Cricetulus griseus: one gene and its partners. The protein of the gene in region 2 interacts with the protein of the main gene of each other region in a biochemical or structural test. Links are inferred from orthologs where the notes say so. Each region holds a gene or a part of one and is shown on either strand. Other genes may lie near its edges.

Region 1 (4,195 bases), on a different chromosome or scaffold from region 2:
GAGCCGGTGCCCAGCCATTCCCGGGTTTGATGTGGTAATTAGAGGTGCAGCCCCCTGGCTTCGTGTCATAGTCAGGAGCCCTCTGGCCACATCCTGTTTTGGTGAGCCAGTCAGAATGCATTCTTCTGCCTTGCTGTCATAGACAGAGTGTGTTTGCACCAGGTCCTGAATCTTTTGAGGCCGCCAGGGGCCACATTCTCCCGGTTTGACATCACACACGTGTCTGTTGGACGTCCTCTTCAGTAGTGGTCACTGTCTTCCGGTCTCCTTGGGATTGGCATTTGTTTGTCCTCTCTTGTGGGGGAAGTGGGGCAGTGTGATGAGCCACAGCCCCCCCCCCATTCCCCATCTTTAGAATCAGTCTAGTTAGGGATGGCGCTGTCCCCAGGGGATCCCATGGGATCCTCATCAGGAGGTCTGCACAGCTGTGCACACCAGTGTGCCAACATTTGGATGCCGACTCCTCTGCTGCTGCCCAGATGTTTCTGAAAATCCGCAGGGTTTTCCTGGGTCCCTTGGGGTGAACGCTGATGTCCTCTCAGTTGCTGCCTCTTGTGCCCAGGTTTGGTGTGTAACACCTCATGGGCGGGCATGGTGTGTGCCACCTCATGGGTGGGCATGGTGACTGTGAGAACTGGACACCCCTCAGGCTGGGAATATTCCCTGGTGAGGAAGGGTAGGACCCCCGACATTTGCATGTGTTTCACCTTTCATGCGGGAGCAGAAGATCCATTCTGTCAGGGTCTGGGATAAAACAAATGGCCTCTGTCCATCCTGTCCCATGGAGCCCAGGGAGCCAGTTGGGGATGGGAGAGTCTTGAAAGAGGACAGTTGAGATGTTTCTTGTGTGGGAAGTGGGCAGGGTAAACTCATGATGGAACATTTTCCCTTGACCGCTGGTTTTCAGACACACACATTGCCAGTTCAGTGACATCTCCTCCCTCTCCCTCCCTCTCTCTCTCTCTCTCTCTCTTTCTCTCTCTCTCTCTCTCTCTCTGTCTCTCTCTGTCTCTCTGTCTCTCTGTCTGTCTGTCTCTCTCTCTCTCTCTCTCTCTCTCTCTCTCTCTCTCTCTCTCTCTCTCTCTCTCACACACACACACACACACCACAGTGGAGAGCATACGTGTGTACCCCAGCCACTGTCAATCATGTGTGCCTGACCAGTGATTGGCAGCTGGGAACCCTGTACACTTTGCAAATTTTGTCCTTTCCTGCTCCAGCATAGCTGGCCGACCGCCCTGCCCTCTGCCTGGGGCACCCCCTCACACACATGTCTGTGTCTTCCAGCTTCCCCCCAGGCAGCCTGAGGAGATCCTGTGCCCCCAGAAGCAGGATGAGAAGATGGCAAACTTCCTGTTACCTCGGGGCACCAGCAGCTTCCGTAGGTTCACCCGGGAGTCTCTGGCGGCCATCGAGAAGCGCATGGCGGAAAAGCAGGCCCGAGGTTCGGCCACGTCACAGGAGAGTCGTGAGGGCCTGCCAGAGGAGGAAGCTCCCCAGCCCCAGCTGGACCTGCAGGCCTCTAAAAAGCTGCCAGATCTCTATGGCAACCCACCCCGAGAGCTCATCGGGGAGCCCCTGGAAGATCTGGACCCTTTCTATAGTACCCAGAAGGTGACTGCCACCCCCTCAACACCCTCCTCACCCTTCTAGGTAGCTCCTAGGAAGACAGCAGGCAGATGGGGCTCTGCTCATGTGGGGTTCTGTGTGGGGCTGGCTCCCCTGGGCTTTGGGGGAGTGACTTACCACTGATCTATATTCCAGTCACCTTAAATTTGGAGTTCTGGGGTGAAGACATAAATAGTGGTGTTTGGGGCCCTAACTTGGGGGCAGGAAGACCACAGAAGTCTTTCCTTCTCATGTAGTGCTTTGGTGTGTACCTCTAGGGTACTCCTTCCTGTTCCTAGACGGGTGAGCACTTGGAGTAAAGCCCTGTGTGGTCTCCCTTCTAAATAAAAGTGGTGTGTGCTCCTCCCATCCTTCTGGCAGCTCAGAGAGCCAGCTGGCTCAAGCTGAGCCACAGTGGTCTCAGATTCCTGGGCCGTATGGCCTCCCCTGAACCACAGAGGCCATGAAAGGCTGAGAGGGGAGAAGAGGCCGCGACTGCTGAGGCATGGAATTGTGGGAAAGACCTGTTCTGTCATCATGGCTCCCCCGGAGAGGGAAGGGGGTGTTGTTTCTCCAAGACCCTGCCCTGGCCTCCTCTTCAGGCCACCCGACTATCCTCACTTCTGAGCCTAATTGGGGGGGGGGGTTGGTAGTGGGACAACTGGCTGGAATCTGGAGAAAGTACTTCCCTGAAGGCCAGGCACCAGAGCTATGGTCAGCTCCAAGCTAAGAGCAGAGCGAAAGACAACCGTAGTCAGTGTGAGGGTTCATGTAACGAGTGTCAGTGTGTCTGTCAGCATGGTCAGAGACAACTTTTGGGAGACTAGGAGCCTGTGTGTGTGTGTGTGTGTGTGTGTGTGTGTGTGTGTGTGTGTGTGTAGCGTGTGTCTCTCTGTGTGTGTATCTGTGTGTGTATGTGTGTGCACATACAGGGCTGCGTGTGTGATCAGCTATGGATGTGGAGACCCACACACTCAGTCCCCGCTGTCAGGAAAGCTGGCCTGGGGCTACTGTGAAGCTTCCAGAACTCCCGGTTCAAGTGACTAGAGTCAGTCAGGGTTGGGCATGAGTGTGAGAGTTATTAGGCCAGAGGTGAATTGGGTGAGTGGGTAGGTGGACTTAGGTCATGGACGGTCAGAGATGACTGGATTGGGATTGGGGTTAGGGACATGGCTGAGAGAGTCTAGGTCACCATGAGAGGAATAGAGAGGATTAGGTTGGAGTCAGATGAGACCAGTAGAGGGACAGGCAGTAGGTGAGCCTAAGGATGGAGTCCAGGCTGGGTGGGCTTCAGGCCTCTTCTCCCGTGATTATAGGTGTGTGCCACCACACCCCCTGAAAGGGTCCTGGCTGAGATGGTAATTCTGAAACTAAAGAAAATCTCAACCAACCTGACATCACCCAGACTCCACCTTCCCCCTCTTCACTCACGGCCCAGGCATGGGGTCTCACTTCCTTTCCTGCTTCCCTGCCCCTTAGCCTCGACCTGGGGCTCTGAGATGACAGCTGTCTCCCTCTGTCTACAGACCTTCATCGTGCTGAATAAGGGCAAAACCATCTTCCGATTCAGCGCCACCAATGCCTTGTACGTCCTTAGCCCCTTCCACCCCGTACGCAGAGCGGCAGTGAAGATCCTGGTACATTCATATCCTTTGCTGTTAATCCCTGTGGTCCGCCTCTGTCCTGGGCTGATACACGATGGGTGCTGGGCAAGACCCCTTACTGCTCCTGGGGCAAGCAACTGATTAGAAAAATAGAACCCCAAACTCCACCCTAGATAGTGCCTGCTCATTAACAAGATCCCTAGGGGGTATTTGGGGTGGAGGAGACTTTGAGAAAGCCATGACATCCCCTCTGCTTCTTCAAGAGGAAAAACAGCCTTGAAACCAGCAGTAGGATTCCAGAAGAAATGATGTCCTCAGCGTTGTCCTGTTTCTGGTGGCTCCAAATGTCCCCACCCACCACCACCTGGAGGTTCCCCCCACACTTCCCGCTGCCCCTTGCAGAGGCTCAGCCAAGGAAAAGCCAGGCCTTGGTAAAAAGGCCTCTAGTTTTTTCTCATGTGGGCATCTTTTGAAGGAGACAGCGCTTGCATCTGAACTAGGTGTTGACAAAATGTTTGCAGTTTGAGAGCTTCTCAAAGAACTCTGGTTAGCGTCCAATTACATAAACCGCAGCCTAAAAATGCTTCCTGCCTGCTGACAGAGCTATTGGAGTGAAGCAGTGGGGCAAAGAGTGCCAAACCAGCTCCGGGGGCCCAGTTCAGGCAGCGTCCGAAGGGGGACCAGTCCTTCTCCGCATTTCATTGTTAAGACATGCTTATTTACTTACTGTGTTCTTGTGGGGGGGTGGGGGGAATGTGGAGGTCAGAGGACAAACTGCACGGGACAGTTGTCCCCTTTCACCATGTGGGTTCCCGGGATCAAACATGGGTGGTCAAGCTTAAACAGCAAGTGCCTTTGCCACTGAACTGACTCACTGGTCCACTCGTCTCGTCTCTAGATTTCAGAGAAGGGACTTGAGGAGTCTCAGAGAGGGATGGTGCTGTCCACCAAGGCAGAGACCTCCACATTTTACTGTGAGGACT
Region 2 (4,241 bases):
AAAAGCAGAGCGTATCACAACTAATTCTACTGAAAGGGGAGACACGTCAACCCAGACAATACATGGTGGCATTTCTGGTTGGCACATGGAAAGGGCTGCAGCAAGAACCAATTGAGCAAATACCAGGGAGGCTGCTTTGCACCCTATAATGCACAAGGGGCACCCACCGCAAAGAAGACACAAACCCACTGTGAGATGCCGACAAACCTTGATCCAAGTACTTAAGGTTAGGCATGGGAGCTCTGCAGCATCGGCATCTTCCCAGACAGGCTTTCCAACTCATTTGCAAGGCGGGTCATCTTGCAGAAACAGTTCTTTCTGCAAGTGGGGACCAAGTGTCAACTTCTGGAGTTTCTTAACTCCAGACTGCCTTTAAACAAGAGGCTCTCTGCTCCCCACCGTTCTGTTCAGTTGCTTTTCCAAAGCCTCAGCAGACCTTCTCCGGGGCACAAACACAGGCTCCGAAAATGCTTGCCTAATTCTAATTTCCTGACGAAATGGGAGCCACGAGGGTCTCTAACTGAATTAAAATCACATCACGCCAACTGCTCGCTTGCTTTGTGCCGGGCACAGAGCCAAACACCTCCACATCATTTATCCTACTTAATCCACCACCAACCAGGCGAGGTGGGCATTATTACTGCCTGCATGCAAGGGAGGAAATGGAGGATCAGGGAGGTTAAACTACTCGTCCAAGGTCACCAACTGGCCAAGGTAAAGAGCCCAACTTGAACCCAGGTCTCGCGTTTCCTAACCACAAGCTCCCTGCACCTTCATGGAACACCAGGTGCCAAGTTGTCTTAACTTCCCATGAATTTTTTAAAGGCAACCCTCAAGTTCGTAATAAGTTTGGGTGGCAGCAACCGGGGGCGAGGGTTTCCGGTTCTCTCTCCGCACAACGCAGCAATGTCACCGCAAGTTAACAGAGAAGCCACCCGGTCGCCCGCGGAACGGGGCGGATTGGATTAGCTCTGGAGTTCGTGCCAGGCCCAGGAAATGCCATCTTTGCAACTGGGAGGCGAACTGCGCCCCCCCAATTTGGGGGGCGAGCCTCGGGGGCCGCGGACGGATGGATCCCCGCGGCCGTGCGCCCCCTCGGCGAGGCTGACTATATCGCGGCGCCGGGCCCAGGGCTCAACCAGACTGGAGCGCACGCCCACGCCCGCGCCGCCGTGTCCTGAACGCCCAGCCCTGCGCCGTCCCCGCTCGCGCCCCGCCCCAGCCCCGCCAGGTGATCCGGGCCTGAGCGCCCCCCCAAGATGCCCGACGTGGCGCGGGGGACCCGGGGCTGCCAGCCCTCCCGCTAGTCCTCCCGCATGTCCGCCGCGCCCCGGGCCGGGTGGGGGTGGGGTGGCGCCCCGCGAGTCCCTGATCTCCGCAGCCAGCGCCCCGGCCCACCCCGCGGAGGTCCCAGCCGCCCATACCTGCAGCATCCGGGGGCGCGGGGCGCCCAGGTAGGTCGCGCGGACGGGCGGCGCGGAAGCTCGCTCGCGCCGCGACCTGGCCGCCGTCTGAGCATGCCCAGTGCAGCCCGCGGGCGGCTCCCGCCGGCCCGGCTGTGGCCGCGACGGGCCCGCGCGCGGGGCGGGGGACCCGGGACAGGGGCGGGCCCGGGGCAGGCTTGGGGCACGCTGCCATGCCCTTCGCGGGCCACCTGCCGACATCCCGCGGACCTCCGAGACCCCGGCTCACGTTCGCTGCCGTTCATACCTTAAGCATTTATTGAACACCTACTGTGTGCCTGACTTTCCGGGATTGCATGCCTAGGAATGGCAAGGACTTGGCGCTCAATGAATCTTTGAAATGACAGCGAGCTTGCACCGGGCTCCGTGGCTGAGTTGGGGATCTCGCTGACACTCCAGCACAGTCCTTTGCTGGTCCTAGGACGCCAAACAGGTTAGCCTGTCCCAAGGCCAGCAGGGGCCCTAGCTGGAGGGCGTTCCTGCCTGCCTCTTCCGCCTCCTCCCACACCTGCCTTCCTGCGCTCTGAGTGCACCTTCCTCTTCATCACACCCTCTGAACTTGACTCGCCTCGGGACGTTTGCGCTGCCTTTCCCTCGGGGTAGGACGTCTTTTCCCCAACTTAGCTGGTGCCCGGCGCCCTCTCACCGTACAGGTATCTTCCGTAGGAGAGGCCTTTCTGGCTACCTTTCTAAACTAGCCCTGACCTCTTGGCCACTCTCCACGTCCGTTATCGCCTTCCAAGCAAGTATCACGTATCCATTCAACAATTACTTACGTTCTTCACATTTAATAAATAGACAAAATTTCTGCCCCTTGCTGGGAGTTTGGAAGGGAGTCTCTCGCAACAAACAACAGGTCCGCAAACAACGCAGTGTATGAGGTGATAAATTCTTAAGAACGGGGTGGGGATGGTGGGGGAGAGAGCTGGGCAAGAAGGCTAGGGGGGTGGCCTGATGAGAGTTGGTGGAACAGCCGGATCAGGTGACAAATACCATTCAGTCACGCAGCTAAACGAGGAAGCTTTCCTAGGACGGAAAAGTCAGTGCCAAAACAAGGAGCGCAGGTGTTGTGCCTACGGCACGGGAAAGAGGGCACAGGGACAAACGGGGTCGGTTACTGGCTGTCTCTCTTGGCTTGGGTCCCCCGTAAGGAGTACCTCCCTTCAGTGTCAGTTCGGTAGCTCCGCCTCTCAAGAGACCTAACCTCTAAACAACTCTTGGCACAAACTAAAAACGTTTTTGTTGAATGAAGATTGCTAACCGGAGGATGTAGAGGTGGGTAGGACCCCTATAGTCGGATGTCCCGAGAACCTTTTGTCCCCTAGGCACCATGAGACCCTCGACCGTGCCTGGTTTACTGGTTTAGATCCCGGTCCCGGTCCCAAGGTAGTGCACCGCTGCGGGAGCCGCGGGAGCGTCGCGTCCGGGGAATTCCGACAGAGCCGGGAGTCCCGGGGGCTGCACTGCCTTGGCCCCGCCTAGGATCGTACGCAAAACCTGGAGCCACAGCGCCGTGGCAGCACCATTCGGACCGGCAGGGAGAGCACTGGGCATGCTCGGAGCCTGGGGCGCCCAGCGTCCGGAAGGAAAAACCCCCTGGAGGGGTTGGTGAGGCTGCACACCGAGTCCCACCTGGTCATCTCAGGCTCAGCCTTCTGCCTCCGGGCAGGGAGTGCTGGGTAACCTTCCTCCCCCAAGCATGGTGGGAAGACCATTCAGAGTCAGCTGACTGCACACTCTGTCCTCTACCAGCTGCTGTGTGATCTGCTACCAGAGCCTTGCGCTCTCTGTGCCCTAAATAATACAAATGCCTACGCTTGGATTCGGGGGCGTGTGGGGATTGGAAAAATAAAATAAAATAAAAAAGGACGTGAATTTATTCAGTCCACTTTAAATATTTACCCCTTGCTGAGGCTTGAATCCAGGGCTTTGCACACCATAAGCACGAATCTCTACCACTAGAAGCCTTACCCCAATATTCGTTTCGGAAGTGCCTATCTCAATTATGCCATCCTCTCGTAACACGGACTGCTAAGATGAGGCCTGGAGAATTCTTAGCGCTGTCCAGTTTAAAGTTGCTGGAGTAAAACCGTTACCTTTTCTCTGCTCATCATTGCTTAAGCAATGGTCTCAGATTCGAGCTAGAAAATAGCTGTGAACCTTAAATCCCTAAAGATTATTATTAATTTTTTGTTTTGTTTTTCGAGACAGGGTTTCTCTGTGTATCCTTGGCTGTCCTGGAACTCTCTCTGTAGACCAGGCTGGCCTCGATCTTCCACCTGTCTCTATCTCCCAGGTGCTGGAATTAAAGGCATGTGCTACCACCAACAAGCAAGATTTTTTTTTAAATTCGTATTTCAAATCACCATAACAGAACCAGGAACATAATAAAAGAAATAAAAGAATCCTCCTCCCCAACTGGAACAAAGCAGATGCTCAAAGGGAGGGTAATGATTGATTGTGTTCAGATCCATTCACTGAAATAATTACAACTAGATCTCTCGGGTCCTTGATATGGTTCAGTGGGTAAGGGCACTTGCAGACAAACTGACCTGAGATCAGTCAATCCCCAAGCCCCACCTGGTGGAAGACTGACTCCTGCAAGCAAGTTATGCTCTGATCTCCATGTGCATGCACATGCATACATACACACAATAAACAAATAAAATTATAACTTAAACTATTTCTATCACTATGCAACAACAGGAAACAACAAATGAAAATATTGAAAGCAACAAATTGTGAAAAGGTGGCATGGACACACCACTAAGAATGCAA
Region 3 (3,989 bases), about 67 Mb from region 2:
GCCTCTTCCCACTTAAGGGTGCAGAGCAGCTCCTGGAAAAGTCAAGAGCAGAACAGAACAGATGGAGAAAGATAGTACATGCCCCGCAGGCAGGAAGCAGCCCCAGGAACTGGGGTCTGAGCCCAGCATTGGCAGCCCTGTACACTGCTGGAGCCTGGGGGCCAAGTGCCAGGACACCGCTAGCCCTCCGCCAAGGCTGGACAAGGGCCCTGCGGACTGAGAAGTTTGTGCCAACATCCGGAGCTGCTCTTGGAGTACCTGCCACCTGTGCCAGTTTAAACCTAGCCCATGCTCATCTTTAAGTCTCCATTGCTTGGTAGGAAACAGCAAGAGCCCTGAGTTCCAATCCTGCCCCACATATTAATGCAGGTGCCAGCATTTCTAAATTCAGCTGTCCCCTCTGAAAATGGGAGTCATAATTTCTATCTTGAGAAGTTGTGAAAATTAAAGTCATATAACATCCATGGACACCAGATAGTGAAGCCTGGCAGGATAGGGCCTGGAGACCAGACTCTCTTGTTTTTGCCCAAACCAAGAAAACCCAGGCAGCATCCTCACCCACACTTCGGACTGGTTTATTCCACCTGGGCCCAGCAGCCCACTTTTTGGTGATAGCAATGGGAAGGCAGGGCAATTCAGATCCCAAACCTCTTTTGCCAAATGCCCCTGCCAGCCCCCTTACCTGCTTCCTTCCTGGCTAGAAGCTGCCCACAATGGCGCCAGTACCTGCGGGTCAGGCACATGTATCGCTTACATGCCATCTGCACTAAGAACAGCAAGGCCCTGTTCTCAAGTAAGAATGCACACCCTCACTGCCCCATGGCTCCTGTTACCCAGACAATAACACCCAGTCCACTGGCACCTCCATGGCCCGGGGGGAGGGGACACCAACAGCAGTACCCAGGGTTTTGCACCTTGTCAGGCCCAGGAAGCAGATTTAGAAGTGCATTTGTGGCAGTGAAAAGAGAAGCCCAAGAGAGCCGGAACATGGACTACGGGCCACTCAGCATTTCTGAAGTAAAACTCATTGTAAACTCCTCTCCCCATCCCAGGAAATCCGACAGTCTCCTCTCCCCAAATTCAGGTGCAACAGTGTTCAAACTAAGAAGTTTCCGGTTTAACCTGGCCCCTATGAAGCTGGCTGTGGCCTCAGGATTTCCCAAAGGGAAGCAGGAAGTGCTGCCCTGGAGGAGGCCAGGGCTACCAGATCTCTACCCTCCCTGCTAGTGTAACACTGTGAATCGCCAGGCTAAGTCCCTCCCTAACCATACCCAGCTCAGCTCGACCTTCCTCTGGAGGCCCAGGTGGCAGGGGCGTGCCCAGGCAAAGGAATACACCTCTGAGCCTTCCCGCAGGCCTTGTGCCCAGCCCTGAGGTGGGGGGGAAGGCAACAGGGGCTGCACAGGGCAGTGCTCCTCACCTACCAGGGTGAGTCAGCGAGAGAACCTCTGAGGGCTGTGTAGGGCCTGTAAAAACCCCATGGCAGGGATCCCAGAACAATTTACTCCAAATTGCGCCTTCAGGTTGGTTACCTAATCCAGCCGCGCCCACCCTCCAATAGCCAGTGTAGCCCATCCCTTTAAAGGGGCAGCATGCTCTGGGTGCCTGAAGACCTGGGGTCCCCACTGTGGATCCCTCTACCTGTGGCCCTGACAGGCAGGACCGATGGTGACTGCCCTGAGGTCCCAAACATAGGTAAGGGTTCAAGCCAGCAGAAAGATCATCTAGGTTCTGGGGTCAAGTGAGGTCTCCATCTGTCTTCTGTACCCTAACAGCTCCAGTTAAGGCAAAGTTTCACCTGCCTCCTTCCCAGTATGAGAGCAGGGCAAAGTTTTCAACTTGCTGGTTTAAGACTTGACCTTGATCCCAGGGTCACTGGACACCACCAAAAGTGGCCTCCTACATGCTCAGGGTTGGACCACAAAGCCCTGGTAGGATAGGAGCTGCTTCTGGGAGAGACTAGATGGTAGAAGCCACACTGCCCAAGGGCCCAGCCTTTTCTCCAGGAAAGGAAGAAGGAGGGAGAGAGGAAGACGGATGCGGGGTCTCTTCCCCAGAGACAATCTTCACAAGGTCTAAGGGCTCTCCCCTCTCTTCAGCATAACCTGAAGGAGGAGACCCGTGTGTCATTAGCATTAGGGCAAAGGAAACCAGGAGGTCCCCACTCCAGAGGTGGTAAAATCCCACATTCCATAACTGCCACGGTCCAGAAGGGCTACCTTCCTAAGGTCAGAAGTGGAGGAACGAAGAGAGCTCTTGAAGAGAAGATACGGGGAGAAACCAGATTCCCATGATCCTTGTCTCTAACAGAACCTCAGACATCTGACCCAAGCCTTTCCCTTCTGCAATGACTGGGGCAACTCCCACAGCTCCCAAAAGATGATAAGCGGGACGAGTCCTAGGGGTGCTTAGGGTGTCAAATCTCGAGAGCCCGTGGGGTTCCCTCTCCTGGCTACTGCAAGGAGGTACTGAGCGTCCAGCAGAACCGTGCCCTGCACACGCACACCCGGAGCACAGGGGGGTGGAGCCGGCCAGTGGGCTAGAGACCAGAGGGCACTCGCGTCCTCGCGGGGCTGCAGAGACGACGCGGGCCGCCCCGCCCCTGTGCGGATCCGCGGGCTGGCCGGCCGGCCGCCGCCGCCTGTCCCCCGCCCCTCTCACTCACCTCCGGGTCCAGCGGCACCAGCTCCATGAGCGGCCAGGGCTCCTTGAGCTGGGCGAGCGGCATCGCGCCGCCGCCGACCCGCTCGCGCTGCTCTCGGCGGCCCCGGGCTGCGCTGCCTCCGGGCCCCGGGGTCCCCGGCGCTGCACTGAGACCCCCCGCGCGCCCGCGCCCTCGCGCTCCGGCTGGGCCGTCCGCCGCCGCCGCCGCCGCGGCACTCGCACTTCGGCTCCCTCCGTCACCCGGCGCCGCCGCGCCCATTGGCTACCTGCGCGGGGGCGGGGCCTGGGCAGCCCCGCCCATCCCCACGGCGCGGCATTCCCGGCGCGGACCCCCGCCCCCAACGCGCTGGGAGTCGGCCCCGCCTTCCCTCGAGCCCCTGGCCCACTCGGGGCCCTGCCCGCCGGAGAGTCTGCGGCTTCCTTCTTCCCGGCCTGTGTGTCCCCGCGCAGACCCCGCCCGGGCCACCGTTGTCCCGTCCTCGCAGCATTTGGAATCTTAACCCAGATGTGCCTTCTCCCTCCAGCGGGAGGGGCTGCCACCCTACCAGGGATGTCCTGGGCCTGATCCAGACAGAGGCTTGGAAGGATCCGGGGCCGTGTGTCCTCAGGCTCTCCCTCCGCAAGCCTCCGCACAGCAGGGAGCCCACCTGGGGTCTCTTAAGTGATCCCCATGTCCCAGCGTCAGGACCCACAGCGCCCCCAGGGTGATTTCTCAACACGCATTTTTTCCCTCCCAGTCTGTGCCCTATCGCTTGAGGGCGCTGGTTTCAGGCCAGGTCCAGCGTCTCTTCCGCGCCAGGCCGGATGGTGGTCTGGTTTGAACTTGAAGCCCTGTGAAGAGGGCAAAGTCTAGGCCTAGTGGGGTCACGATTCCCTCAGGCAGGATTTGGCCTACGCCTAAAGAGGTCGTAGGGCCCAGGTGTGGTCTCAGGTGAGATAGCCCAACGACAAGCTGGTTAGTTTCCTAAAAGCCTCCTGCCGTGTGTGTGTGTTTGTGTGTGTGTGTGTGTGTGTATGTGTGTGTGTGTGTGTTTGTGTGTGTGTGTGTGTGTGTGTGAGTGTGTGTGTGTGTGTGTGTGTGTGTGTGTGTCTGTGAGTGTGTTTGTGTTCCCTTGCTTAGTTGGTTCTGGGTATGGGAGCCAGGCTTTGCACGCTAAGTTGCATTTGGTACCATGGACCTATACCTCCAGGTGGCTTGTGATTCTCTTGAGAACTCACCACCTCCTACTAGACACTCAGAAATAGGAAGTGATTTATCCAAAGTCACACAGGATCGGGAGTACATTCGTCTTTAGAAGGGTGTGGGATGGACTTGTGAGACGGCT

The links. The genes of interacting proteins can lie anywhere in the genome.
Region 1: the proteins of Ptpn3 (region 2) and Scn5a form a complex in vitro, tested with the Homo sapiens proteins (2 studies listed by IntAct, with this or other methods). The link is inferred for Cricetulus griseus from reciprocal best matches to the Homo sapiens genes PTPN3 and SCN5A.
Region 3: the proteins of Ptpn3 (region 2) and Rps6ka1 interact in a test that uses a peptide from one of them, tested with the Homo sapiens proteins (2 studies listed by BioGRID and IntAct). The link is inferred for Cricetulus griseus from reciprocal best matches to the Homo sapiens genes PTPN3 and RPS6KA1.

The regions. Positions count from the first base shown.
Region 1 is NC_048597.1:226,640,096-226,644,290, reverse strand, and holds the start of Scn5a (sodium channel protein type 5 subunit alpha), read left to right. Parts: upstream 1-1,341; coding exon 1,342-1,614; intron 1,615-3,134; coding exon 3,135-3,253; intron 3,254-4,195. UniProt on the Homo sapiens protein: Pore-forming subunit of Nav1.5, a voltage-gated sodium (Nav) channel that directly mediates the depolarizing phase of action potentials in excitable membranes.
Region 2 is NC_048595.1:86,575,362-86,579,602, reverse strand, and holds the start of Ptpn3 (tyrosine-protein phosphatase non-receptor type 3), read right to left. Parts: upstream 2,853-4,241; 5' UTR 2,240-2,852; intron 1,546-2,239; exon of another isoform or gene 1,425-1,545; intron 1-1,424.
Region 3 is NC_048595.1:19,393,006-19,396,994, reverse strand, and holds the start of Rps6ka1 (ribosomal protein S6 kinase alpha-1), read right to left. Parts: upstream 2,855-3,989; 5' UTR 2,729-2,854; coding exon 2,666-2,728; intron 1-2,665. UniProt on the Homo sapiens protein: Serine/threonine-protein kinase that acts downstream of ERK (MAPK1/ERK2 and MAPK3/ERK1) signaling and mediates mitogenic and stress-induced activation of the transcription factors CREB1, ETV1/ER81 and NR4A1/NUR77, regulates translation through RPS6 and EIF4B phosphorylation, and mediates cellular proliferation, survival, and differentiation by modulating mTOR signaling and repressing pro-apoptotic function of BAD and DAPK1.